Linked DNA regions of Oreochromis niloticus. The protein of the gene in region 3 purifies or fractionates together with the protein of the main gene of each other region. This does not show direct contact. Links are inferred from orthologs where the notes say so. Each region holds a gene or a part of one and is shown on either strand. Other genes may lie near its edges.

Evidence for each region.
Region 1: the proteins of polr3e (region 3) and rpap2 purify together in Homo sapiens (affinity purification with mass spectrometry; 3 studies listed by BioGRID, with this or other methods). This does not show direct contact. The link is inferred for Oreochromis niloticus from reciprocal best matches to the Homo sapiens genes POLR3E and RPAP2.
Region 2: the proteins of polr3e (region 3) and polr3h purify together in Homo sapiens (affinity purification with mass spectrometry; 9 studies listed by BioGRID and IntAct, counting the BioPlex papers as one, with this or other methods). This does not show direct contact. The link is inferred for Oreochromis niloticus from reciprocal best matches to the Homo sapiens genes POLR3E and POLR3H.
Region 4: the proteins of polr3e (region 3) and polr2k purify together in Homo sapiens (affinity purification with mass spectrometry; 3 studies listed by BioGRID and IntAct, with this or other methods). This does not show direct contact. The link is inferred for Oreochromis niloticus from reciprocal best matches to the Homo sapiens genes POLR3E and POLR2K.

What each region holds. Positions count from the first base shown.
Region 1 is NC_031982.2:10,756,794-10,764,786, forward strand, and holds the start of rpap2 (putative RNA polymerase II subunit B1 CTD phosphatase rpap2), read left to right. Parts: upstream 1-4,984; 5' UTR 4,985-5,058; coding exon 5,059-5,113; exon of another isoform or gene 5,114-5,223; intron 5,224-5,316; coding exon 5,317-5,362; intron 5,363-5,488; coding exon 5,489-5,603; intron 5,604-6,606; coding exon 6,607-6,705; intron 6,706-6,798; coding exon 6,799-6,864; intron 6,865-6,960; coding exon 6,961-7,049; intron 7,050-7,153; coding exon 7,154-7,189; intron 7,190-7,274; coding exon 7,275-7,993. Other genes in the region: glmna (glomulin, FKBP associated protein a), read right to left, coding at 107-216, 312-396, 484-557, 701-742, 836-925, 1,352-1,382, 1,528-1,581, 1,746-1,927 and 6 more.
Region 2 is NC_031969.2:9,483,523-9,490,917, forward strand, and holds the start of polr3h (DNA-directed RNA polymerase III subunit RPC8), read left to right. Parts: upstream 1-4,374; 5' UTR 4,375-4,562; coding exon 4,563-4,673; intron 4,674-4,817; coding exon 4,818-4,914; intron 4,915-7,395.
Region 3 is NC_031973.2:9,907,108-9,914,270, forward strand, and holds the start of polr3e (DNA-directed RNA polymerase III subunit RPC5), read left to right. Parts: upstream 1-4,154; 5' UTR 4,155-4,383; intron 4,384-5,111; 5' UTR 5,112-5,177; coding exon 5,178-5,216; intron 5,217-6,539; coding exon 6,540-6,590; intron 6,591-6,748; coding exon 6,749-6,826; intron 6,827-7,070; coding exon 7,071-7,163. Other genes in the region: eef2k (eukaryotic elongation factor 2 kinase), read left to right, coding at 1-53, 266-331, 839-970, 1,198-1,386, 1,526-1,650, 1,828-2,006, 2,214-2,323. UniProt on the Homo sapiens protein: DNA-dependent RNA polymerase catalyzes the transcription of DNA into RNA using the four ribonucleoside triphosphates as substrates.
Region 4 is NC_031985.2:19,959,509-19,966,759, reverse strand, and holds polr2k (DNA-directed RNA polymerases I, II, and III subunit RPABC4), read left to right. Parts: upstream 1-4,721; 5' UTR 4,722-4,834; intron 4,835-5,034; 5' UTR 5,035-5,042; coding exon 5,043-5,103; intron 5,104-6,366; coding exon 6,367-6,459; intron 6,460-6,635; coding exon 6,636-6,658; 3' UTR 6,659-6,737; downstream 6,738-7,251. Other genes in the region: stk3 (serine/threonine-protein kinase 3), read right to left, coding at 135-272, 369-536, 680-844, 1,164-1,278, 1,715-1,843, 1,969-2,049, 4,357-4,379. UniProt on the Homo sapiens protein: DNA-dependent RNA polymerase catalyzes the transcription of DNA into RNA using the four ribonucleoside triphosphates as substrates.

The DNA.
Region 1 (7,993 bases), on a different chromosome or scaffold from region 3:
TCTCAGGAAGAAACAAAATTAAACAATGTGACACTTTCTTTTAAACAGTGTGTATGACCCTTTTTAACAGTGTGTGTTGGGACTGGCTTAGTGTGTGTGCACAGACCTGTCCAGGTACTGCAGGAGGTCTGTCTCTGGGCCATCTGGAAGAATAAGAACCTTACGCAGCAGAGGCATGAGCTGAACGCCTTCAAACCAGACGTTACTGTTACCTGGCTGGAGACGGAGCGGTAAAGAGATTCTTTTAGGTCCCCCAAGAAATTTTAAACACTGCCTACACTGTCATTTTTTCCTTTAATGCACATCTTCACCTGCAGGGCAATGTCTATCTGATTCTTGATGTTTTTAATGATGTAGCCTTCAACTCCTGAGTGGTTACTTGTCTTCAACATGTACCTGAAACAAGAACACAGGTCACTAGAGTGGGAAGTGGCAAAGACACATATTTCTGATTAATTTTCAGGGAAGAAAGGTGGAGCTCACTGGAAGAATCTGTACTTGGCTTCAGTGTTGAACTTATCAACGCTCAGCTGGAAAACCTTCAGTCCTTTAGTTCTCTGAAGACAAAAAGAAGTTCCAACATAAAAGTTTCATTCTAGATAACAAAAATGTGATGAAGGTGACACAAATAAAAGTCGATTTCAAATCAAATGATCTGACATTACATTTTAAACACATAAAAATTCATTCAAAAACTTACCAGTTCATGCTTTGGACATATCGTCATGACCTTTATTAAGTTCTGAAATCAAACGCTGACATTAATAACATTATATGATGCACACAAAACACAACGGTAGACCCAACAGGTCTATAATGAAGCAACTGCGTTCACCTGAGGGACTGTGAGGAAGGTTTTAATCTCCAGCAGGTCTGCACGCAGACTGCCGTCCTCCACCCGCACCAGACTTTTCTCATACAGCTCCTGTGTGATGCACATCCATCATACGCTGATGACTGCTTTTAATGTGCAGAGGAAGATTTAAGTAACACAGTGACCATTTTACTGGCAGGTAATGACCCTTACAGCCTCATCCTTTCTCCTCTTTGGCTTCTTACAACTGGCTATTATAGGAAGAAATGTGGGGAACCTCAAGTTTTAGAGTCTAAAACCTCTCCAAACGCTAACCACATTATTTGAAACGTTGGCCATGTTGAATATGAGCATCCAAGATGATGACCGTACATATCAAACCATAAGAAAACAAACTTTTAAAAATGTTAAGTATTATTAAAATATCACCATGGAAAAATATAGGATTAAATCCAGGAGTCATGTACGGCATTTATGACTAAGGCCATTATAATTTATGTAATAAACAACTAAATGATCAGTGAAAACATCACCTACCAGTCCTTTCTGAAGCTTGGACTCCTCAGTTCTATAAAAGATAGATATTACTCATTACAGGTTGATCATTAAAGTGGTGTGTTATAAATGTGTGTATAATGTGCACATTTATATTTTACAGCTTTTGTAAAACACTAACAAAGATTATAACACCACACATTATTATGTCATGTTACCTGGACAGGAGGAGAGAGACGTGCTCGATGTTACATCGAAGACTGAACACAGGACTGCAGAGAGAATACGGAGTGTTGGGAGCATTAAGAATCTATTTAAATGTTTCAATATTTGTTAATTTAGAATGAATGCAACACCCAAGCACAGATCCATTTCAAACCAAGTGTGAATAATCGCACATTGTGCATCCAAGGACAAAAATATGTTTTCAAAATACCTGAAAACAGTGGGGAAGGTGTCTGCAGCCAGGTGATGGACAAACACCAGATGAGCCAAGCTGGCCAAAGACTCTTTAGGATAGCGCACCTCCTCCTCGAGAAAGCCGGGAACCTGCTTTCTCTTCAAAAGAGGCTGGTGCACAAGCCCAGCGATGGACTCCCCAATAGAACCGAGGATGTTCTGCAGGACAGAGAAAGCCACAGTTACCATGATATGCAAGTACGTGACAAACTGATGACATATTAGAAACCAGCAATGAAACCGTTTACGCGTTTGAAAAATGCTTTTACCAAAATCTCGGTGGCAAAAGTCCTGAGGGGGGACAGAGCCAGCGTGTCAGGATCCTTGAGGTGTACTTCCAACAGAGGATGACTCAGACTCTTCATACAGCTCAAGAGGAGACAAACAAAAGGGAAGCCTCAACATCATCAGTTTTCAAGAGCCCTGCAGTGCTTTTCTATGACATGATGTCGGACTATCAAACGTGAGTCTGAGCTGGAAAACGCATTTTTTTTCACTCACAACTTCAGAAGTTCTGTCCGCAGCTCATCCTCTTTATCCTTCCCCTGTCTGCCCACAGTCCTGTTTGTGGTCTCGCTCTGCATTTCATTATTCAGCAGGTTATGCCTGACTTCTTGAACAAAAGGTCTGACGAAATCTATCATGTCAGTGCAGCAACGGCAAAATGAAAAGACGTCATCCTCCTCTTGCTCCTTGGTGTGAGGGAGAGGCAATTTGGCCACCTGGTCCAGCACGGAGGACAGCGCCATGCCCAAGGATGACGCCTTACGGCCGCCCAGGCACAGCAGCACTGTTAGAGGCAGGAATCAGAGAATACATCACAATAATAACAGCAAGAAAAAGTATCCAAACAGCAATATGCAATATATATGTAAGACAAGAAGAAAACCAATAAAAAGAGTGGCATTAAAGATGACTAAAAAGATTCTTTACCTTTCTGTAAAGGCTTCAAGAGCAGATGGAGACTCTCCACTATCGTATCAGGATCATCCTGCTCCAGCTGCTCCAACAGGCCGATCAGCAGCTCTTTGGGTCTGCATGTCTGCAAAACCCCCCACAAAGATCACCCTTAAAATGCCACATTCATCCAGTTTTCATTGGTGATGTTTTATCTTAAGTCCACTCCTGACCACTGACCTCCAGCAGGTGGTTAAAAATGGCCAGACACTGAGGAAGATTCTTGTCTTCTTTCTTCAGCAGGACCTGGATCAGCGGAGGCAGCAGGTTCCAACCCATGCATCTCACGATCTCCTGCACAGATGAAAACAGTTACACAGATGAGTGTGTGACAAACCTGAGAAGCAGTGATTGGTGTCAACTTTGAGAAACGTTACCTGATTCTTTTCATCCAGCACAATACTGAGGACCTGCGCGCTGTTTCCCTCCTCGATACATGTCCGCCCAGCAACCGTGAAGATGTTGTGATCCTCAGTGGTGTAGCTGTCGTCTGGAAGAGCCTGCTGTATGCAAAAGAAACAAACACGTGGGTAGAAATAGAGAAAACAACATTTTAAACAGTTTCTTATTAAATATTATATTTCATCAAATATCTCAAAGACAAAATCTTATTACCCTCTGGTTTGGGTTCAGGACACAGTCACCCCCTCTACTTTTAAGATTAGGCTTTTTGATAAAGTTTACAGTTAGCGCTGGATCAGGTGACCCTGAACAATCCCTTAGTTTTGCTCCTTCCTCAGGATGCTGGGGGACATCCCATGATCCACTGAAAATTTCTCCTCTATTCCCGTCTTCACTAACTAAGCATTTATACACTGCTGCTGTATGGCAGCAGTGTATAAATGTTGTAAACTTGCGTGCATCCCACAGAGAGACACACAGAACAACCAAAAGGAAATGGAAATGAAGAAAAGGAAAATGAAGAAAAGAAAAATGAAGAGACAAAAAAATGACCACAAAACAGCAACAAACAGAAGCACAATGAGCAAATTGTTTATAAAACAATAGAAAACATCTAGAATCTAGGTCACCAACAGGTGGACCACCCCTACGCCATTCTTTACGGACTCAGACCTACTAGATTTTCACGAACCCTTTCTTTTTACTATGTGCCACCTTTTCCTTTGTCTTTATGGTCATATATACACAGCAAAGCCATTGAATCGAAATACATAGACCAATGGCGTGCTTAACTCACTCAACGTAACTCTACTCAGGCAATCCTTTACTCAGAGCACGTGTAAAAGTAGAAAACTCAGAGACGAGAAGCAGAAGCCCAAGGAATTAAGTCAGGGAAACAGACAGGGAGAAAAGGAGGGTTTAAAGTGAGATGGTTTACATGTGAAATGTAATTTAGAAAAAAGCCAAAGAGGGGAAATTCAAAATACAACTTTTCATTATTTTAAATTATTTGAAGACAACTTTTTCAAAAGCTATTATTTGATTGCAAACCTTATTTTACTTGAAACCAAAAAAGAACATTTACATCAGAGAAATGAATAAAAAATATTGTTAAAATACTGATGAATTACACTCTCTTTGCTTTACTTTACAAGCAGTTATTGCCCATATACTTACACTGTATAACTGTTAGGCTACTTCAAAACAGACTGCACTTATTATAATTATAATCATGTGGAACTTGATTATATTTTGGGCTTGGAAATGTTCTCAAACTGGACCTCCTTAAATTTTAATTGAATACCCCTGATCTAGAATATGCTCTGGTGAGGGACTCATTCTATCACTGTGAGTGGGTACCAGCATGCAGGTTGGTGCCAGTGACTGTGCCGACATGCTGTTTAGGGAATGGATATCAGAGTGAAGGAGGGGATGTGGGTTACAAGTCCCACTGAATACTTACACATCTTTGGACCACCTCACTGAGCTGCTCCAGAGCCATCCCTGCTGTCTTCATACGGGTGTTGTCCTCATGCAGAAGTCCTCAAAAACAAAGGGGAAACTTCAAGTATATAAAAAACAGGTCCAAAGGTGTCAGAGGTTAAGCTCTGAGCCTGTGTGACTGTAAACACAGCAGAGCAGCAGGGATGCTAACCCTGCTCTGAATTAGCCGAACAGTGGCTAGCCAAACAAATTCACCACCACTAAAAGAGCCGCTGATGTGGACACAAACGGGACCGAGGTGAAGGGGACACCTACCTCAGCTTAATTTCCACAAACAGCCCGGTGAAAAAAAAAAAGCACACGCACACACATACACACACACTGCACGCTATGGACTCACCTCGCGAACGCAAAATTGTCCCCCCTGGCTTGCCGTAGAGGGAGACACGTCACAGGTCAAAGTTGAAAGCGTAGACAACAGAAACAGCATGGAGACGGAGGAGAGAAGAAGGAGCGGGAGCTCCAAAAAACCTGCCAAAAAGGGTTCGTTAAAAGCCTGTTTTTTTTTTTATTTCTCGGGTTTTAGAGAGGTGTTTACGGCGCTGCGGAGGGTTACACGGGTCTCAGAGCGCTCACAGCTGGTTTGCGTAGCGGTTCGTTGGTTTGTTTGGTAGAGTAACAAGATCTCTGCCCTCAGAGATTCAGTTAACTCGTATATTCAACATGTTTTGTTGTTTGTGGGGCAGGTGGGAAACGTGTCAAAGCACTCACCGCGGAGGAAGAAGCGAGAAGGTGAGAAACCCCTACTCCACCAGGACATCTCTACTGGACGCTTCAGCTGCACCAGTAATCATTACCAAACATTTGTTGGTTGTGGAGTAAACACAAACACTTCTTCACATGTGTGCTTTATGTCAGGAGAGAGGAGCTGAAGGAGAAGCTGAGGGAGAAGTTGGAGCTGGAGAGGAGAGCTTTGAAGGTGGTGGAGCGGCTCCTGGACGACAGTGTGGCTGAGGACTTCCTAGTGGACTGTGTATGTGTCACCGGTGACTTTAGACATGGCACAAGCTTTAGGCAAACCAGGAGACAAAGTCTTCCCTTACTTCTCTCACACCCAGGTCCTGTTACCCTTACATCACTGCCAAGCCTCTGCCATACTAAACCTGTCTCTTTTATTCACACAACATGTCTGCCACAATTAATTAGACTCTCACAGTCTTAGAACATGGCCCAATCTGCAGTTTCCAGGGTTTATAATCACCATGAGATCCCATGATTGAGGTTTTTCCATTGGGCCAGCATTACACAGCCTGGCTGTAGTATGTTATTTAGACCTGTTATGAATTTGAATACACCACTTCACTGGTAGCAGTGCCATTGCCTCACAGCAAGAAGGACCTGAGGAGTATGCTATGAAGGAAGTTCACCACAGCCAGGCTTTGTTTGCGTTAGCTGTTGACAAAGCTTAAAACCCCAGTCAGAGATAATGGACATCATTATGATGGTTATCACCTTTCTTTGTTTAACTAGGCTTGTTGTTAAGGTATGTCATGTTCTACTCTTTTTCCACACAGAATGATCCCTGTGAATGCTGCCTAATCAGATGTTATAAGGTGATAATGATAAAATGCTGTCAAAAGTCTATAAAGAAGAGGAAAAATATTACAATAAAATGCAAAACTGTTACAGACAACACGAGATATTAATGCTGTGGAAAAATGTCAATCTTGGGATTTAGTGCATAGAGGGATAAAATAAACAATCTAATGCATTCAGCATTAGTTACCATGAGGTTTTAGCCAGGTGAAAAGAGAGATGGACTGGCAACCAATCGAGGACTCCGCCTCTCACCCTATGGCAGCTGAGATACGCTGTGTGAACACACACTTTTTTTTCCATTTCTGATCACAGACTTTAGATTACAAGCAGGTTTTCAGTCAGTAATCAGTTAATTTAAAATGTCACACAATATTAATTTTACACAAATTTAAACCACAGAAAAGCTGCAAAGTAACTGAGTTCTCTTTACTTCACAGGCCAAAATGATCACCCCAGCTAATTACAGAGATACTGTAGAGGAGAGGTCTATTGCTAAGCTGTGCGGTTATCCCATCTGTCCTAATAAACTGGGCAAGGTAAGGCCACTGATACTGCATTTCGCTGCAAATAATAAACATCTTCATGTCTCATATGTGATGACTGAGTCTGCGCTGCTGTTCACTTTCTAGATCCCAACTCAACAATACAAAATTTCTACGAAGACCAATAAAGTGTATGACATCACAGAGCGCAAGGTGAGTGTTTCTACATGAAATTGCTTTTTGGTTTTTTTTACACTTACCAGAGTGTGCTTAAAGACACATTTTGGTCTTTGCTTCTTTTGTCTTTAGTGTTTTTGCAGTAATTTCTGCTACAAAGCCTCCAAAGCATTTGAGCTACAAATACCAAAGACGCCTCTTTGGGTTCGGCAACATGAGAGGTGTGTGTGCTGCTTCTCACCTCTGTCCTAAATCACCTGATTGATCTAATTGTTGAATGCAGTGATGTTCTGTATAATGTCTTTGCTCCCTTTCTCTCTCCCAGTCCTCCTGAAATTAAGTTGTTGAAGCAAGGAGAACGGTACGTAATAAGTTTCAGTGTTTAGTTTTCCATGTTTAGCCTTATTAATAGAAAGACTGATCCAGGGTTACATGTGTGCATTCAGTGGGAGCTCTGGTGAGGAGGTGATGCTGTCCGAGAGGTATCTAAAAGAAGAGGACATCGAGAACCCTGTGGCTGCTCAGGACGAGGATCTTCACAGCTCTCGTGATCATCCTGCTGGAGGCAGCCACAGTGATGTCAGTGACGGCGAACATGAGCAGGACTTTGTCTCCAGCGTGGTCTCCCAGCAGCAGAAACCCCGGGTACACTGGGGTGACCTGCCCAAACTCTCAGATAAGGATGATAAAGGGAAACAAAGGAAGTCTGAAACAAGAAAGATAAACACCAAAGAGGGGAATGAAGAAAAGATCGAACCTCCTCAGAGTCAGAATACAGAGGAACAGAGAAGTATGATAGAAGACGAGGAAAGAAAAGAGGCAGACGTGCGTAAAACTGAAGTTACTGATGCTGAAAAACCCAAAGAGCTGCAGACGACACATACGGACCAGGCGGCTCCACGAGAGAGAGAGTTGTCTGAGCTTTCTAGTGTGGAAGAGACTACAGCTAAGATGAGCGTGTGCAGTTTATCGGAGACGGTAACTCACAGCGTTCCTCGCTCGAACCCTCCAGCAGAAAGCAAAGAAATTCCCGCCACTAATCAAAACAGTCACGGCCAGCAAGAACTCAACATCACGCAGGTGGGTATGAGCAAAAGGGGGGCGGCGGGGCTGCGAGATCTACTGAAGAACCACGCCGAAGCCAAACCTGACTCTGTACGGATGA
Region 2 (7,395 bases), on a different chromosome or scaffold from region 3:
ACATCACAGCAGGTAGGTGAAGCGAGTCTGGCATTGACATTTGACATCAGAGCAGAGAGGCAATTCTGCTGTTGATATTTGACATCACAGCAGGTAGGTGATGCAAGTCTGGCATTGATATTTGACATCACAGCAGGTAGGTGATGCAAGTCTGGCATTGATATTTGACATCACATTGCATGCATTGTGGTTGTTGGCAACCACAATGCCAACAACACACAACCATGGCAACAACCCGTAACCATGGCAACAACCCGTAACCATGGCAACCACAACCCGTAACCATGGCAACAACCCGTAACCATGGCAACTACCATGGCAACAAACCGTAACCATGGCAACAACCCGTAACCATGGCAACCACAACCCAGCAAATCTGCTGTTGATATGTGACATCACAGCAGGAAGGTGATGCGAGTCTGGCATTGACATTTGACATCAGAGCAGAGAGGCAATTCTGCTGTTGATATGTGACATCACAGCAGGAAGGTGATGCGAGTCTGGCATTGACATTTGACATCAGAGCAGAGAGGCAATTCTGCTGTTGATATGTGACATCACAGCAGGAAAGTGATGCGAGTCTGGCATTGACATTTGACATCACAGCAGAGAGGCAATTCTGCTGTTGATATGTGACATCACAGCAGGAAGGTGATGCGAGTCTGGCATTGACATTTGACATCACAGCAGAGAGGCGAGTCTGGCATTGATATTTGACATCACAGCAGGTAGGTGATGCAAGTCTGGCATTGATATTTGACATCACAGCAGGTAGGTGATGCAAGTCTGGCATTGATATTTGACATCACAGCAGAGAGGCGAGTCTGGCATTGACATTTGACATCACAGCAGAGAGGCGAGTCCGGCATTGACATTTGACATCAGAGCAGAGAGGCGATTCTGGTGTTGATATTTGACATCACAGCAGGTAGGTGAAGCGAGTCTGGCATTGACATTTGACATCAGAGCAGAGAGGCAATTCTGCTGTTGATATTTGACATCACAGCAGGTAGGTGATGCAAGTCTGGCATTGATATTTGACATCACAGCAGGTAGGTGATGCAAGTCTGGCATTGATATTTGACATCACATTGCATGCATTGTGGTTGTTGGCAACCACAATGCCAACAACACACAACCATGGCAACAACCCGTAACCATGGCAACAACCCGTAACCATGGCAACTACCATGGCAACAACCCGTAACCATGGCAACAACCATGGTAACAACCCGTAACCATGGCAACCACAATGCCAACAACGCACAACCATAGCAACAACCCGTAACCATGGCAACAACCATGGCAACAACCCGTGACCATGGCAACAACCCGTAACCATGGCAACCACAACCCAGCAATTCTGCTGTTGATATGTGACATCACAGCAGGAAGGTGATGCGAGTCTGGCATTGACATTTGACATCACAGCAGAGAGGCAATTCTGCTGTTGATATGTGACATCACAGCAGGAAGGTGATGCGAGTCTGGCATTGACATTTGACATCACAGCAGAGAGGCGATTCTGCTGTTGATATGTGACATCACAGCAGGAAGGTGATGCGAGTCTGGCATTGACATTTGACATCAGAGCAGAGAGGCAATTCTGCTGTTGATATGTGACATCACAGCAGGAAGGTGATGCGAGTCTGGCATTGACATTTGACATCACAGCAGAGAGGCGAGTCTGGCATTGATATTTGACATCACAGCAGAGAGGCGAGTCTGGCATTGATATTTGACATCACAGCAGGTAGGTGATGCAAGTCTGGCATTGATATTTGACATCACATTGCATGCATTGTGGTTGTTGGCAACCACAATGCCAACAACACACAACCATGGCAACAACCCGTAACCATGGCAACCACAACCCGTAACCATGGCAACAACCCGTAACCATGGCAACAGCCCGTAACCATGGCAACTACCATGGCAACAACCCGTAACCATGGCAACAACCATGGCAACAACCCGTAACCATGGCAACAACCAAGGTAACAACCCTTAACCATGGCAATAACCATGGCAACAACCCGTAACCATGGCAACCACAACCCGTAACCATGGCAACCACAACGCTGACAATGCGTAACCATGGCAACAACCCGTAACCATGGCAACAACAATGGCAACAACCCGTAACCATGGCAACAACCCGTAACCATGGCAACCACAATGCCAACAACCCGTAACCATGGCAACAACCCGTAACTATGGCAACAACCATGGCAACCACAACGCGTAACCATGGCAACAGCCATGGCAACAACCCGTAACCATGGCAGCCAGAATTGCCTCTCTGCTGTGATGTCAAATATCAATGCCAGACTCGCCTCTCTATACTGTGATGTCAAATATCAGTGCCAGACTCGCCTCTCTATAATGTGATGTCAAATGGCAATGCCAGATCCGCCTCCCTGCTGCGATGTCAAATATCAACACCAGAATCGCCTCTCTGCTCTGATGTCAAATATCAATGCCAGACTCGCATCGCCTTCCTGCTGTGATGTCAGATATCAACACCAGAATCGCCTCTCTGCTGTGATGTCAAATATCAATGCCAGACTCGCATCACCTTCCTGCTGTGATGTCAAATATCAGTGCCAGAATCGCCTCTCTGCTCTGATGTCAAATATCAATGCCAGACTCGCCTCACCTCCCTGCTGTGATGTCAAATATCAACACCAGAATCGCCTCTCTGCTGTGATGTCAAATATCAATGCCAGACTCGCATCACCTTCCTGCTGTGATGTCAAATATCAATGCCAGACTCGAATCTCCTATTTGCTGTGATGTCAAATATAAATACCAGACTTGCCCATGTTCGAGCGTACACATGGACAATCAGCATATGACAGCAGCTATCAGCCACTTACAGTGCAGTCATGTTAAAACATGTAACACAGGGTCGCTAGTTTAGTGCGACCACATTAATATTATTAATTATTAATATGTAAATATTAGCAAGTTCAGTCTGTTCAGGAAGCAAGTATATACATACATATATATATACGTACATATATACATATCTATATATATCTATATATATATAGATATATATACTTGTCTGTCATACCGACCTATAAACAAAATATGGTACACATGTACATAAATACATTGTTATTAAAATTTTTATATACACTACCAGTTAAAAGTTTGGACACACCTTCTCATTTATTTTCATGACTATTTACATTGTAGATTCTTATTGAAGGCATCAAAACTATGAATGAACACATATGGAATTATGTAGTAAACAACAAAAGTGTGAAATAACTCAAAACATGTTTTATATTTTAGATTCTTTAAAATAGCCACCCTTTGCTTTGATTACTTTGTCTAATGTCCATTCCTTGTGCTTCTTGGTCCAAACAAATCTGCTTGTTGCGTTTCCTTAGTAGTGGTTTCTTAGCAGCTATTTGACTATAAAGTCCTGATTCACACTCCCCTTTGAACAGTTGATGTAGAGATGTGTCAGCTGCTGGAACTCTGTTGTTGTTGTTCTGCTGTTAACTTGTGTTTTCTGAGGCTGATGACTCTTGGGCTTCCTTTCCTGAAACAGTCCTCATGTGAGCCAGTTTCGTCGTAGCGCTTGATGGTTTTTGCGATCGCACTTGGGGACATACTCAGAGGTTTAGCAATTTTCTGGACTGACTGACCTTCAGTTCTGAAAGTAACGATGGACTGTCATTTCTCATTCAGTAGCTGCTGTTCCTCTCTGGAACCACGTTGGAAGACAACAGCCAGATCGGATGATAGGGCCTTGCTTTCTCCCATTTATCCTGGGCAGCAGATTGATGCAAGCACCATGATGCTGATGATGAAGGCTGCTCATTATTCCCTTTAACATCTGTTGTGGCCAGAATATCCTGCAGTTTCTGTACCTCACTTACTGAAATAAATAACCTAAACATCCCTTTAATACTTTTTGCTTGTTTAGCCTGGATAATGATGGTGTTCAGTATTCTAGTCTGACAGTAAAAGTATATTTATAACACAATAGTCAATCACTCACGCAATAGATTTATCCACTAATCATAATAGCATGATTTAAAACATTTAGATGGAAAATGTTTTAAAAACAGAGACTATTATTTTCAACAAAGACCAGAATACAGGAGGGACATGCACTATAAGCTCAACCCAGTTTGAAGGTCCATTTTTCAAAAGTGAGTAATTAAGAGGCTCTGAATGCACTCAACAGACCAGCTTTTCTGACTTGACTTGACCCTTCTGGACTACACAGCCGGGTGTATGAAGTACCAGAACCTCCAAGCAATTGGCAGTTTCTGGCATGTCGTGGCAGGCCGTGGTACGTTACACTAACGAGTCCATGGTTTGCGGTATTTGTTAGCAATTGCAGCGTTACAGCCACTAGGTGGCACCAGAAACCTGCCGTAGTCGTCTAGAATTGCGACAGCTGTTTTACGGCATGCCGCAAAACAAACAAACAAGAAACGTGGATACTACTTTCTGATCATTACTTAATATTTTTTATTGCTTTTAATATTATAAGAACGTATGGTAATTAGTGGGTAGGTGACCAGTGTCCGGTCATCATGTTCGTGCTGGTGGAAATGGTCGACACGGTGCGGATTCCGCCGTGGAATTTTCACCGGCAACTCAACGAGGCTGTGGCGGAGGAACTGAACAAGAAGCTGGCCAACAAGGTGATGGAGACCGTTCTAGCACACTTAGGATCAATTTTCACCACACAAAACACACTAACAGTTCAGCAGCTAAAATACTGAACATATATTGTCCTTTTAGCAGAAGTTTGTGTGTTAAATTGTGTAGTGCTGTGCTTACAATAGGTGGTCTATAACGTGGGACTCTGCATCTGCTTGTACGACATCACAAAACTCGAGGACTCCTATATATTCCCAGGAGACGGAGCCTCACACACCAAAGGTATGACGATCACCATCAAATAGCTGAGACAGCTTTGGTGTAGTTGAGTTAAAGTTAATACTGCTTGTAATACCTCAGACATTAAAGCAAAACCCTTTTTCTACTGTTAATGCACAAACAAGGCAGATGGTGAGTGGTGACTCCTCCTCCTTATGCTGGGCATACACTGTGCAATTTTTGGCCCATTTTGAGCCGATTTTTTAGTTGTGCGACCGTTTTGGGGATCGGCCCGAGTTTCGCCTTAATCGTGTGTCACGCATCGTGTAGTATACATGGGGTAACGAGAAGCGATTAACACCTCACGACCAGCTCCCGATCATCAATTGTTTGGTCGTAAGAAAATCAAACCTGTTTGAAATCCTGTCGGCCGTCATGAGGGTGTCAACGCAGCCTCCCACACTGCACGCACAAACACAAATGAAAGTGAAAAGACAGAGCAGCACGGCAGTGCAGCGTGTGATCTGGACACAAGCGATGGAGGCACAACATGTAGAACTTTGGCAAGCTCATCTGAGCCTTTTCGATGTGGCCTCACAAAATTGTCACGACCACAACAACCGTGAAAATACAGGGAGTGCAGAATTATTAGGCAAGTTGTATTTTTGAGGAATAATTTTATTATTGAACAACAACCATGTTCTCAATGAACCCAAAAAACTCATTAATATCAAAGCTGAATGTTTTTGGAAGTAGTTTTAGCTATTTTAGGGGGATATCTGTGTGTGCAGGTGACTATTACTGTGCATAATTATTAGGCAACTTAACAAAAAACAAATATATACCCATTTCAATTATTTATTTTTACCAGTGAAACCAATATAACATCTCCACATTCACAAATATACATTTCTGACATTCAAAAACAAAACAAAAACAAATCAGCGACCAATATAGCCACCTTTCTTTGCAAGGACACTCAAAAGCCTGCCATCCATGGATTCTCTCAGTGTTTTGATCTGTTCACCATCAACATTGCGTGCAGCAGCAACCACAGCCTCCCAGACACTGTTCAGAGAGGTGTACTGTTTTCCCCCCTGTTACAACCTCCTCTGCTAGGCATCAGGGGAGGAGTAACATACACACGCCCCCAACACAAAACTGAGTAAAGAAAGGTTTTCATTCCAAACTGTAAACAGAAAACTGACAGGGCTGTTCAACAGACCACTGGGCAAACAATTATTATATAAAGACAAAAAAAGACAAGAGTAAAAGCTAAAGGTTAACTAAGGCAAGCTGGCAACACACAAAATAAAAGCTAAGGGTTAACTAAGGTGAGCCAGCATCACAAAATTCTACTCACAGCCAGCTAGCAGCTCAAAGCTCTACTCTGGCTAAGTTCAAGCATGCACCAAGGTTTGACAAAGTTCAGCAATATGAACAAGTTCAACAAAGATTGAAGAGGGAGGCACGAAGGGCAAACTGCATGTTCAGTCCTAAACAGCAGCCACTGAGTGAAGGACCTCCAGCCTTTTGTAGCCACAGGTGGGTACGATCAGTCACTGATTGCCTCTTGGAGCATCACGGGATCCCCGGGCAGCCAATCATCCGTGTGGTCTGGCACACTTCATTCTGCATAAAAGAGGGTTGGCACGGGTCTCCCAGTAACCAATCACCCACAAGTCATGGCACACATGGATTTGCATGAACACAAAAAGGCAGTCTCACTCCCTCCAAGGCCCAGGGCCATAACACCTCCTTGTAAATCTCACATTTGATGATGGACCACAGGTTCTCAATGGGGTTCAGATCAGGTGAACAAGGAGGCCATGTCATTAGTTTTTCTTCTTTTATACCCTTTCTTGCCAGCCACGCTGTGGAGTACTTGGACGCGTGTGATGGAGCATTGTCCTGCATGAAAATCATGTTTTTCTTGAAGGATGCAGACTTCTTCCTGTACCACTGCTTGAAGAAGGTGTCTTCCAGAAACTGGCAGTAGGACTGGGAGTTGAGCTTGACTCCATCCTCAACTCGAAAAGGCCCCACAAGCTCATCTTTGATGATACCAGCCCAAACCAGTACTCCACCTCCACCTTGCTGGCATCTGAGTCAGACTGGAGCTCTCTGCCCTTTACCAATCCAGCCACGGGCCCATCCATCTGGCCCATCAAGACTCACTCTCATTTCATCAGTCCATAAAACCTTAGAAAAATCAGTCTTGAGATATTTCTTGGCCCAGTCTTGACGTTTCAGCTTGTGTGTCTTGTTCAGTGGTGGTCGTCTTTCAGCCTTTCTTACCTTGGCCATGTCTCTGAGTATTGCACACCTTGTGCTTTTGGGCACTCCAGTGATGTTGCAGCTCTGAAATATGGCCAAACTGGTGGCAAGTGGCATCTTGGCAGCTGCACGCTTGACTTTTGTCAGTTCATGGGCAGTTATTTTGCGCCTTGGTTTTTCCACACGCTTCTTGCGACCCTGTTGACTATTTTGAATGAAACGCTTGATTGTTCGATGATCACGCTTCAGAAGCGTTGCAATTTTAAG
Region 3 (7,163 bases):
ATCATCGCTACAACAGGCAATATTCAGAGTCGGATGAGGAAAGTATCAGACGGGTAAAGAAACATAAATATCCCTAAATCCCTTCCTCTCCTCGTTCTTAATCATCATCATCATCATCATCACCACTGTAATCAAATAACACTACTTTAATTTCCCTTTTAACATCATCTTTACTTTTGTTTTCCCATCACTTATTTAACCATGAAAGCCCCTCCTCACCTCTCCTCTAATTCCACTCCTCCTACTCTTTGTTTCCTCTCACTAGAGGAAGATGGTAGCTCCTCCAAGAGTCTCTGCAAACTTAAATTTAAACACTCCTGACAACGAATGGGTGATTATTTGCATGGAAGCTCCTGAGCCAGGTGTTTCCCTGTGCAGCGCTTTGCAGTCTTTTTTTTGGCCGTGAAGCATAATCCTTGCCTCCAGCATGATGGCTCTGCTTTTCAAACGGTTCCGATTTGTGTGGATTGAACTCACTGTCGCTATTTTCCTGTTGACGCCTGCTTTATTTATTCAGTGAACGAAAACGATCAGAAAATACAGAATAACTGGAGATAAAAAGTGATACTTGGAACTGAAACACCATCGACCTCCTTTACCTTCGCCTGCTCTGCCATCCCGCTTATTTTCACCTCTGTAACTGTGTGTGTCTGTGTGTGCGCTCCTTTTGCATTAACAGGGGTGTACTCCTCCAGCTCTGAGCTCAAAGCAGACTTTCCTGGACGGGTACACCTCTGAGACTGCAGTGTGACTTTTCAACCATAATATATTTCATGCAATGAATATCAGATGGTAACTTTTTTTCTGTCTTGGATCTTTGGCGCCTGTTTCTGTTCAGTTGACAGAGGAGAAGTGGACCTTCTATCACTCATCCCGCGCTCACGTCCACCGACCTTCCTGTGTGGCCACCGAGGTGGAACGACTCAACAACCTGCTGCAGAAGAAGATCGGCCAGTCGATTCTTGGAAAAGTAAGAGGAGGAAACATTAGTTAATTTAATGTTTCCGTGCCGCTATTTAACTCTGGTCCCATCAACACTAAAAACACTTACATTGTTACCATTTTTGATATATTTCTTTGATTCCAGCAATAAAAGGCAAAGCATTCTGTTCAGTCCAAACTCCTCCTATAGCAAATCAAACACAATGAGGCAGCTCGACATGCTTCACGCGCTTATATTCTGGATCTCCCACCCAGGTCCACCTGGCGATGGTGCGGTACCACGAAGCAGGTCGTTTCTGCGAGAAGGACGAGCAGTGGGACCAGGAGTCGGCCATGTACCACCTGGAGAGAGCCGCCATGTGTGGAGAGCTGGAGGCCATCGTAGCCTTGGGACAGTGCCTTCTGCAGCTACCTCATCATATACTCCCAGACATGGAGCTGGAGGTACTGTGCGCCATCTATTTTCCTTTCTACTGTTCAGCTTAACTTCACAAGTGTGGCTTTATATTCTGATGTGTGTGTGTGTGTGTGTGTGTGTGTGTGTGTGTGTGTGTGTGTGTGTGTGTGCGTGTGTTGTTGGCAGGATAATGCAGGAAACAATATGAGAGGTTTCAAGTATCTGCTGCAGGCTGCTGAGGCTGGCGACAGATCTTCTATGATCATAGTGGCCAGAGCCTTTGATACTGGAGTCAATCTGTCTGCTGACAGGTGAGTGAAGGTTCATTCAAAGCAGATGTTTCAGGTGAGACATAGGAATCCTGCTCCAAGGGGATGACTTTACTCGATAGTACTGCCCTCTTGTGGCCGGTTGGATTTTTACAGTTTCTTTTTTTTTAATTGGTGGTGATTTGTGAGTTAAAGCATTTTATCCTCTTGCCTTCACAGAAAGCAGGACTGGGCCGAAGCGGTTCACTGGTACAACAGTGCGCTGAACATGATGGACTACGACGAGGGAGGAGAGTTCGATGGGACCCAGGACGAGCCTCGCCACCTTCTGCTGGCCAGAGAGGCAGAGATGTACCAGGAGGGAGGCCACAACCTCGCTGCAGACCCACAGAGAGCAGGTTCAACCCGAGTGCAGAATTTTAACTTCAAGAAATCCTGCACCAGTTTCTGTCTGACCGTTGTTTTCCCAGTGAAGCAGTAGGGCTTGTGATTTTGATCTGTGGCACGGAGAAGCTTTAGTCTCACATGATGGTCGTGGGGTTGGTGTTCATTTCTGTTTGGTGGAGCGACTGCCTGTAACATCTCATGCTGTCTCTCTCCTGCAGGTGACCTTTTTACTGAAGCTGCAGAAGCTGCCATGGCGGCCATGAAGGGTCGACTGGCTAACCAGTACTACATGAAAGCCGAAGAAGCCTGGGCACAAATGGAGGAGTAACTCCACGACATAAAAGAAATTAATTTTAACCTCCAAAAAGGCCACGAGACTTGATGTGTGGCTGTTTTTCTTTTTCTTTTTTCTTTTCTTTTTTTAACACATTCTGGGTAAAACCTGAATGACTTCAGTTTACATTACTGTTTTTATGACAGATTTTTTTTGCTGTTGGTGGTTTGTTTGTGTGTGCGTTTGATGTGTGTTGAGCCATTCAGCATCAGACTTATCTTCAGAATTCTTTCTGTATGGTTGTAAAGCTAGATTTCCTGGCTCCTCATTTCTTTCATTTCATGTCTATATTAACCTTTAGTTAAGTTAAGTTAATGTGATTCTACGAATGAAAAGGTCTGACCTATCAAAAAAGATTTACTTATTTTGACCCAGATGTTAACATGTTTATGTTTAAGAGAATATATGTGATAAAGAAAAGTGCTTGGAATATGAAACTGTAAAATAAAAGTTTGCCTTTCTTTTTACCAATCATGATCCTGTTGTGATTTTTTTCTAACTAGTGGAAGGACTCTTGTAACCTAAAATTAGGGTGTATTGTATCATAACAGAAACAATTTACCTTAGTTTTTTGCACCATTAACTAAAATAAGTTAATTTGCAGTCAGTTTGGTTACGGGACAAAAGAAAACAGTGAAATGCTTCAACTCACTAGTCTTGGTTTTCTTTGCACTTTTCTCTGATCCCAGAGCTCAGAGGTATGTCACCACTTTGCCAAGTCCTGGAAGAAGACCCACATTATTATCCTCAGATGAGAGGAAAATTGGTCGGTGTAGTCGGGAACCACCAGATTTAAAGCTTGCCATGAACTCCAAACTGCTGCAGTGCAGGTTTTACATCATGAACTGAGAGGAAGAAAGAAGCCCCCAAAATCAGCTTGATAGAATTTTGCAGTGTCCCACATGGGCAAGCCAAATCCCTTATTGAAAGAAATTTGATGGTCAACTAAGAAAAAGATCGAGCTGCAGTATGTCATTAATTGACCACAATGGCAAGAGGCATGTTTTCAGAATAAACATGAGGTTTTCAAACAGATGACGTACAAACTGTCAAGCATGTTTGAGGTAGCATCATGCTCTGGGGTATACTGCACAAAGTGGATGAAATAATGAATAATTACTTTAGATTCAGTTCAAATTAACAACTAAACTCGGACACAACTGGATGTTCCAGCAGAAAAATGATCCAAAACACACATTAAAACTGACTTTACGCTTTTGGAAAAGCCTTCCCAAAAGCCCCAACCTCAACCCCGATGAAAATTTCTACGTTTTTACACTATTTTTGTTGTATTAACAGCAGATCCACTCACACTAGGAAGCTGAAGAAGCTGATTAGGAAGGCTGACTCTGTGCTGCAGACGTGATTTGAAGTTAAAGTCTGTAACGACTCCTCTCTGTCTATTGAGGACACGTTTATCCTCTTATTTGCTGCTGCAGTCTCAAAAAAAGAACTCAATAGAAGTGCAATAATTGAAACTTTCTATTTTTAATTGCCCAGGAGACTTCAGGGTATATTTTGCATGTCCTTGGATTTTATATTACATTATTTTTGTCTCAACTCCATTTAAAACGGGTACAACCCAAACTTTATAGTCAGGGGGCTTCATATTCGCTATTAGCCTCTGTTTCGATACGTCGTATCACAACGGTAGCGTGGCCGAGCGGTCTAAGGCGCTGGATTAAGGCTCCAGTCTCTTCGGGGGCGTGGGTTCGAATCCCACCGCTGCCAGGATACATTTTTTTCCCGTTCTATTCACGAAACAATCTCATCTGAAAACTTAAATTGTCCACAAATAATACCTAGGGGTAGTTGGTAATGAATAAAAAAGCGTACAAAAATAATGACACAAGCGCATAGCGGACTCGCTGTGCATTATGGGCGCGGGCTCCTCCCCACGTGTCTGTGTGGAGCAGAGTCAACATGGTATCACATCGGCAGTAGACTACAGCTGTCTTGAGTTAAACTCCACTTCAGCAGCAGCTCTCTGCACCACGTTCCTGGGCTAGCTACACCCGGATGAGATAGCTAAAGCTGAACGGTGAAGTGTGCAGGTGAGGGAGGAATCTGCTATTCTTACATAAAGAACATTTAAAATCAGGCCCGCTGATTGAATCTGTGTTATTTTAACTAAGCACGCCATGCTAAGCTAGCTCACGCTAGGCTACATTTGCTAGCTACCGCCTTGGTAGCTAATGTCGTTGCTTGTACTTTTGTTTACAGGAAACAGATCTTCAACTTAGTGCTGTGTATCCTATCTTCTTTATATTGGTGTTGGTTTTTACATAGGAATAAAAAAATCACCCGCTGTGTTGTGTAGGCCTGTGATAAATGCTCACAGGGTTTGCTGCTAATGGAGCTAACTTAACCATAAACACTCTATATAGTCAGCCAGTAAATTGGCGTCATACGGTTTTTTTATTAGCTTGACACAGTGTTTGATAGGGTTATGTTTCTACGAGGAGGAGTCTTTTACTGCTGTGTTGCATCATGTGGATTTTACCTGTGTGTCCGTGAAAGCATCACATGACAGGTTACCATAGGAAGTTGACTACTTTAGCGTCTTATGGTTTACTTGTTGGGTTAATTGAATAGTATCGGCTATTACCAATACTGACACCTCCTGACTGAACTGTGATGTAACTGTAATGTGCCGGATCACTAAGTTCCTGTCATCTAGTGCCTCTGTTGCCAGTCTGGGTGTAGCCACTCCATAACAGTAACAGGAATGTGCAGCCGGACGTTTAGCTCCTGTAACCCAGTTTGTCTTTTATTTTTCCAGGTTCCACCCCCTTCCCCTCTCCCCCAAGATTTGCCCCTCTCACCTTCTTGCTCTGATCACATCAACATGGCCAGCGGTGATGATGATGACCCCATTATAGAGGAGGTATGTTTACAGGCTTAAGTGAAAGGATATTATACGTCTCACTGACCTAATCAAGTATGATACAGCATTTTCTCTGCCCTGTGCACCTTTTATTGCTGTTCTGTGTTTATCAGTGTGAACACAGCCTCACGGGCAGTAAACAATTCCCAGGTGTTTCCCATGCATAGTCTCTGTTAGGTGTATTAACAGGTAATAAAATCACCTGGCAGCAAATATCAGCATTTATACTCATGGTTGTAGTGAGAAGTTTACATACAGTCGTCATCGGCATGACTGTCGTGGCAATTTTTGGCTTTTAATTATTTCTTTGAAGTGATCATTTTCCAGGGTGGAATGATTGTACAGCATACATATTTAATTACTTTAAATATGTACTTTAGTAATTGGTGCTGAAGGTTCTGCAGTGCCTTTTCACTTGACAGGGACAAGGTTCATTAACTTCTCATTAGTGATCATGGCTTGACTACTTCTGGCAGCTGATTTGTCAGCACAAAAAGGATTTGTTTGAGCTAAGTGGAGACAGCTGATTTTAATAATCTATTATTTACTTGGTGGCACGGTGGTTAGCTATGAGGCACTCCTGCCTCTCAGCAACAAGGTCATGGGTTCGAATTTAGTATCTTACTGTGGTTTTTGCATGTTCTCTTAGAGTACTCGACCCTCAGCCCAAAGACATGCCCGGACTCTGTCTACATAAACACACCACAAAGAGATTACAGGCGTTACATTAAATTATGCAGATTAACTGCTAACTAAGTCTGATACGATGTTTAAATCAGGCAACTTGCTAAAGACAACTTTCATACTTTGTCTTGCAGTGATACCTGCAGCATGCAGAGGGGAATCTAAAGAGGGCATGGGGTGTACTGAGCCATATTTATTTAAGGGCTCTCCTAACAAAAATTTTTAGAATCAAGGAAAAAAGATTGCATTAATTAAATTTTATGAATATTTAAAATATAAAAATAAAAGCTTTTTTATAACATACAATGGCCAGGAAAACTCTGAGCCAATGACCTGTGGCTGTTTGGTTGGACACTGAATTATAATTAACACAAATTATTAACATCTACATCACCATAAAGTCAGCACAAACACTTTGGATCAATGCAAACTGAATTACTTAAATATTCAAATGCTGCAGCCCTACTTGTCTGTCTCTCTGTGTTAGCCCTGCGACAGACTGGCGACCTGTCCAGGGTGTACCCAACCTCTCACCCTGCTATGACCCTGAGTTGGGGAACTTTGGAGGAAAGTCTGGTTTGGCTGTTGGCTCCTTACGTCAGCCTGTTTGACTTTGATCTACGTTTGTGTTTTTTCTAGATCGACGTGTACCTCGCCAAAAGCCTTGCAGATAAGCTGTATCTTTTCCAGGTGAGCTTGTCCCTTTGTAGTACCCGTGCGCTGATGAGCACGACCTCACGAGCCCACGTGTGAGCAGTTTCTCTAACTTATCTGCACCGTCTGGGGTGGGATTGATGTGTAATGTTCAAAGAGTCACTAATTGAGTTCACCGCTTTCCCTTGATGCAGTACCCTGTGCGACCAGCCACCATGACCTATGATGATGTCACCCACTTGGCGGCTAAGATCAAACCCAAGCAGCAAAGGGTAACCAAAAACCTGATGTTGATGTATTTTGTGTTTTGTTGAAAATATGTTTCCGTTTCAGGGGAGATGTGTGAATAGGATAAATTTTTAAAGTATTGAATATCACCAATTTCTCAAGTTAATTGGTTACATCAGGTTAAATTATAAGATAAGATTTTTTGTATTGGAAGTTTTCAGAAATGTTGAAAGTCATTAAATCGGGTGTTTGTAGTTGTTGATCATTTATGTACGGCTCCTTATACAGGTGGAGCTGGAAATATCCATGGACACAGTGAGTCCAAACTACTGTCGCAGTAAAGGAGAGCAAATCGCCCTAAATGTGGACGGCACGGGTTAT
Region 4 (7,251 bases), on a different chromosome or scaffold from region 3:
TATATGTTTGCTTTCATTTTGTATCAGTTATTTGAACAGGGAAGGACACCAAGTTGCTCTTAGTTTCCTTCCCTGTTCAAATAACATAATAATAGTAGTAATCCATGTATGTGGTGGTGAGGTCATCTTCTTACCTGTAGTAGCTGTGTGGCCGTCGCTCTCTGCTCCGGGTTCTTCACTAAACACTTCTTGACAAAGTCTGTAAACTCGTCTGACCAGAGCTCCGGCTTCCTGAATGTTGGAGGAGGGTTGGTCGGGATCATAAAGATTGCCTGCAGGAACACGATAACAGGATTAGGGTGGATTAAAAAAAGAGGAAAAATGTTTTTCACAACACATTTAAAACAAGAAGAAATGTTTCTACTCACTCTCATTGGATGGATGTCTGCATAAGGAGGTTTACCCTCTGCCATCTCTATGGATGTGATGCCCAAGGACCAGATGTCAGCTACACAGTTGTAGCCGATCTCCTGAATTACCTCGGGTGCCATCCAGAACGGAGTACCGATCACAGTGTTTCTCTTCGCCATGGTGTCCTACAGAGTGGGAATATATATTACCCCAGACTTTTAGAGCATGACAGGACCAAGCGAGAACTCCTCAGAAGCAAATTACAAACAGTATCATGCTGGCAGACATTACTTCATCTTATCACTACTGACATATGCCGCAATTTTACCGTCAGCTGTCCAGCAACCCCAAAGTCTGCCAGTTTGGCGTGTCCCTCTGTGTTCAGAAGGATGTTTCCTGCTTTGATGTCCCGATGGATCTTCCTCATGAAGTGAAGATACTCGAGTCCCTTCAGCGTCGACTTAAGGATGGTTGCGATCTCATCTTCTGTCAGCTGAGAGATTGAAGAGTAAAAAACAAACATGAAAAAACAGAGCATTAACTGCTGCACTTGTCTGTAGTTTTTTTTTTATAATCATTAGTTTGCTGAGTTCAGTTAAAGACAAGTTCAACCTGGAGATCTTTTCACTTTTAAGTCGCAATAAATACTGCACTTTGAATTGAAACTTTATCAAAAATATTTTTCTTCCTGACACAAAAACTAGTGAATTAAAGCCGCCATTGCAGTCATTACTGACAACAGGTCAAAGGCACTTTTAAATTAAGTTTTAGCACAGTTACACACGTCGCTGCGGCTCAGCGTAGACACCCACCGTCTTGTTGCGCAGTCTGATGATGTCAGAGACAGAGCCAGCGCCGCAGTACTCCATCACAATCCACAGGTCTGTGTTCTTGAAGTAGCTGCCATAGTATTTCACCACATAGGGGCTGGGGAGGAAATGCAACATGGAGTGGTTATCAAAGGAGAAGATACAGAGCAGAAGTGAGAAAAAAAATCTCATGGATCCAGACACGAGAGAGCTACATAGGCTATGATGATGATGTCATACTTCCTCCATTATTATCTCTGTAAAATGTCTTTTGAGGGTTTTCCTGGCTCAGAATGGACCTTTGAGAGGAAGCTAAGTGCAACTGGTCTGCGTACAGTTAACACTAAGAGGCTCTTATCTAATTAAACAGAACAACTGTGCACTTCCCTGTTATTTGGGGCAGCTGATAAACAAAAAATGTATTCTGAGCCTGCAAATAAACAATGATTTTCTCTCAAAACTGTTTACTGGACGCCACATTTTTCATATTGAGGAAAAACTCTGCTTTTAAGGGGAAAACTGGCGGTATGGTTAAAGACATACTGCTGTCCCACCTGTCACACTGCTGCATGATGGAGATCTCCTTGATGATTTCCTGCAGATCGGACTCCACAGGCACCTGCTTGATGGCCACCACCTGGCCGGACTCCTTATGAATGGCTTTAAACACGCTGCCATAGGAACTAGAAACACACACAAAGCTTAAAGTCACATGTACGGCCGCAGTGCTTTATTACAACTGACAGCACTTAAAAAGAGATTCATTACGCAATGGTCAGCTGTAAAAATGGAAGTTAAGACTTCTTACCCTTCACCGAGTTTCTCGAGAACATCAAACACTTCCTCTGGCTGTTTCGTCAAACTATCTTCACTCAGCTTTTTCAGCTTACTGTAAAAAGTGAATAAGACAGGAATATAAAAGTGAAAGCAATGATAAGTGGAAAAGGCAAATCTAAACATTACAAAACAGGAGACACGGCATTGTTTCAGCATTTGTAAATAAATGAACGGCTGTGGGTGATTTTTAGTCTGGACATAAATGTCAAACACACTGGGACTGCAACTTGTTATAATTTCCGTTTGTTGTAATTTAAAGATATTTTTAGGTTTGTGCATCGGTGCTTTCAAACACCACAATATGAGGTAATACTTCTTCACAGATAAAAATCAGCACCGCAGCCAAACAACAGGAATAAGTCATTATTTTACTCAGAGCAGGAATGTCATTTTAGCCAGTTAAGTTCAATGTGATCGACAAAAAATGTTATTGTGAAAGTGAAAGCACAACCCAACATGCACTGTTCACTATTTTCTGACTTGATCAAAAATATTATCACGTGCAATACAAGACTAAAGGAGGTCGTTTCTCCCTGAGCAACACTTAGTGACGCAAGCTTCAATAAGGTTCCTCAGTCTGGCTCTAGTGAATAAATCAAACACAATGAATCAAAAGATTCAATCATTTAAAAATGATCCTACATGAGCTCTGACAAAGACACAAACAGATTGTGTGTTTTTTTCCCCATTATAAGGGTATTTCAATACTACCTCTTAGAAAAGCTTGTGCTATATGAAGCTGGAAAGGCCCTCACATCCTGCTGTTCCTGTTAATTTCCACTAAGCAGAACAGAAACGTTTAAGTATTGTGTCCTCAAAGTCTTTCAGAGAAGCCTTTCACTGACTGTGAGAAGAGCTGAAAATATTGCTGTTTTTCCTTGAATCCAAAATAAAAAACTTATTCAGTCTGAATTTCACATAGTGTTTTATAATTATATGTTTTTGGTAATTTACTTCAATATCTATTATTATATTTATGATGATGATGATGATTATTATTATCATCATCACTTATTTTGTTCAAATATTTATTTTTGGAGACTCATTCTTTAATTTCATTGTATATTTATTAATGTTATAGTAAACTTTTAAGCAATTTTTACTCTATATTTATTTTGTCTTTATATTACGCAATTTTATTTTTGTCAATGATTTCCAAAGCAGTTCTAATTTCTTTTGATTTTGTTATTATTCATTTTTTAAAATATTTTACTATTCTAAAAATCTTTCCTACCAAATTCTGTCAACCTAAATGTTTAATAATATTACTTTATTATTATTATTATTTCATCATCCTTTATAGTGTTGTAATAAAAGGGGTGCTCATATATGGAATAAATAAATATTTCTCATCTCAAGATGAACATGTGTGATCTCATAGTTTAAAAATAGTACAGCAATCATACAAAGACTTCAGATCTGTCGCCTTGTGGTTAAAAAGCTCTTCGGTAAAATTAACTTGCGTTGTCTTTTTTTTGAGCCTGTGAACTCGTGAACCACCACAGCACAGAAACCAACTAAGTAATCAGTAACGTGTAATACTGGTTTGTCTTCAGGAGTTGTGCCAAAAAATACCGTGTCCGGTATTTAAACAGTTCTAAATGAATGCCTATGACCTATCAAACATACCTCTCTCTTATGAATGATTTCAAGTCACTTTGAGCAAGCAGTAGAAGCTGCATTTAGTTTTTGGCAAAGTGACTTTTATATATCTTTTATTTATTTGGATAAAAAGTGTTATTGACATTCAAAACGTCTTTTTTCCAATAGAGATTGCGCAAACAGGCAAGCCAAAACATGGAGGACCTTTAACTTTTACAAGGACATTTTAAGTGGCTAAGAAAGTCAATAACAATAACGCAGACCCATAAAGAGAGATCACGTCTTTATTATATATATATACACATATATATAAAAACCCCTTCATAAATCCTAATAACTAAAGCCTGTTTACAAATACTTTCAACAATATTAGACATAAAAAGATACACAGAAACAATGCAATTCATTTTTTGGAGGACACTCGGGAAACTAGAGGCTGATTCAGTTAACATGCGACTGAATGATATTTAAAGTGCAAATCAAACCACTGAACAAAACACTCTTACAGAAACTTGGGAACACAAAACGACCACATCATTAGCCAAATCTATTAGAAACTCAATTGAGGGCTCAAGAAAGAGCGTCTCTGTGTGAGGAACGATCTGTACATCCGTGAACAGAACTGAAAGTTTGAGAGAAGACTGTCAACGCTAAGTTAGCTTAGCATCAGCGAGCTCGGCGACATCCACCGCCTACGTTAGCTGTTCGGCTAGCTCGATAATAATAGCATTTTTAGCGCAGTTAAAATAACACAAACCTTTTGGGCGCAGACGTCTCCATGATGTACGACTTCAAAACTAAAAAGAAAACAGACTAATAGGGACTCGTGGCACTTTTGGGACCAGCAGTCAGGGCGAGAACATTGTCGACTGAGTCGTTGTTGTCAAAAACTAAAGCAGCGCCAGCTGAGGGCTCGTCGGATGACGGTGTTACGGCCTCACCGCAGCGCCCCCTGCTGGAGCGGAGTACAAACAAAACGGCTAAAAAATACTCTCCTTAGAAACAGCGAATAATTTGTATCTATTAAACAACTGAGACTTGTGAATAAAATGTTACTGATAATAGAGCTGTCCACAAAATACAACTATGCTTTCCTGGTCTCATTCAAAGACATCGTCCGACCAATCACAAGCGACTTTGCTGTGAGGTGAACGACTGTTCTACGCATGTGCAGGCAGGAGCCTTGTGGAGTATGAAAAGAGAGGTAAACAGCTAGCAGCTATCGTGTTTAAACGGTGAGAAACCTTGTTGTTGTCTTTCCATCCTGTGTACTTCATATCTGTTAGGTTTATGCAGCGTTTTTAGATACTTTAAAGATATTTGTTGTTTGCTCTAAATACCATATGGGTTGTTTTAGTCTGTTTCGGGCAATACCATGCTGTTTCTGTTAGCATGTTGTTAACAGTTATATCTCTGTCTCTATTTTTTTGTTAAGAATCAGAAATGGATACGCAGAAAGATCTACAGCCGCCCAAGCAGCAGCCTATGATCTACATATGTGGAGGTATATTACAACTTTTACTTTAATAATACACCCGCGGGTAATGCAAACAGTACGATCTTACCTGCTCTAATGCAAACCTTTCATCACTGCCATCACGGCTGCTTCTCCTCTGGATGTTTTTTTTTTTTACATTACACCGCAGAGACCTTAAATATTGTTCATATTGTGTTCCGTCGTAGTAACAATTCTCTCATAATAAGTTAACAAATAATAAACTACAGCTAAATTTAGATTCTAAAACTAGCCTGTCCGACATTAATAAATTAAGGATTAATCCGTAATTAATGCTTCAGAGATAACTGAGAGTGTATTTTTTCAGGTATTACAGCACTAGTTTTTAGAGAAAACCATCTATCACACTATATCATGTCCTGTTTTGCCTAACACATGAAAATGTACATTATAGAAAATTCGCATAACTACCGTCTATAATTATAAATATGAGTTCAGTATTAGTACTAAATAACACTTGGAGCACAAGGTCTGCCTATTGTAAACCGGTCTGTGCATTCAAAGCTGTGATACCTGGCATGTGTGGGATTTCCATTCACTGAAATTACATCTCAGGTGCCTTTATAGCCTCATGACCCCTACCCCTTTTCTAATCTCTGTTTTAATCATAGTTAGCTTGGAATAAGATAATTTTATTGTTCTGTATGTATGTATGATTTTTTTTTTTTTTTTTTTTTTACCTTGTGGGTATTTGTGCTTCCAGGTGCAAAACACAAGTACTAACTGAGAGTTACATGATGTTCTTGTGTTTGAATAGTGTTTTTACTACTTAATCCACCTTGGTGGAGACCTCTGGATGACATAACATACACATTAGGCTCACTAAATGTTTACAGTGGGAAATGTTAAACCTCCTTCACAGTCTGATACATTGTTACTATTTTGGAACCAATAACACATATTTCACCATGATTACGTAATGTTGGTCATCTTGCATCTGGAAAAGGAACCACCCTGATTTTAGTACTAACAAGTTTTGTGGCAAGTGTAAAAACTCAGTAACAATCTGAATGAACTGAAATGAATACACCTTACACATTATGGACTAAAATATTGGGCCACACCTCTTTGAATTCAGAGGCGTGCGCTAAGTGAAAAAAAGTTACCAACACTCTGCTGACTCAGTAGCTGCAGAGGTCCAAACCTTCTCTGTCATTAACATCAGCAGAAAAACTATGTGCTGCCCGCTGCTCTGCTCTGCTCAAACTGCACTTGAACACATAACACCATGATTTCTCTCATCACTTGCAGAATGTCACACCGAGAACGAAATCAAAGCCCGCGATCCGATCAGATGCAGAGAGTGTGGCTACAGGATCATGTACAAGAAGAGAACAAAGAGATGTATCCTTTTGACATTGTGTGCATGAAGACAACTTGTGAAAACATTAAAAATGACCAACTGACAGTTAATTTCAGACATGAATCTTTATGCTAAAGAGTGTTCAGATATTTTGTTTTTGATTGATATTTTTTGGTTGCTACGTTTGCTGTGGATTTCCTTGACTCTCTGATTTCAGTGGTTGTATTCGATGCCCGATGAAGAAGAGGAGAGGAGCAGTTTTGACTCTGTTTACTGTTTGTAGTGTGGGATCATGTAAATAAATAGACCTGGCTTCAGATTTGTGAACTACTCATTTTATTCTCCGTCTAAACAATACATTTGCTTGTCAAAGATGTATGAAAGTTTGTTTTGGTTTATTAAAAAATAAGTATTTTAATTGGTCGTGACTGTTTTTCCAGTTTTTCTAACTGATGAGCCGATTTAATTGGTAGCATCTCCATGACGACAGGAAAATATGTGTTTCAGCTCTTGTAGACTTTTCTATATTCATGTAGTCACGTGTAATTGGTCTGTTGCTATGAGATGTTTGCAGCTTTTCGACCCCTGAAATGAAGTCTGCCTTTCAGAATAATAAAATGCAGCAGGGGGAAGTAACCTGATTTTGTGTAATGCAAACTGGTTTGGGGCCTTTTTCATAGTAATAAAGATTAAATGACACTTCGATGTTTTCTTCCCCTCACCCCCAAAGGTGATTTTAATGACTTTGACTGTGGGATAATTGTTGGTACCAGACTGGCTGATCTACGAGGATTTTCCCACAGCCATCTCCCAAAAAGAGAAAATATCCAGTG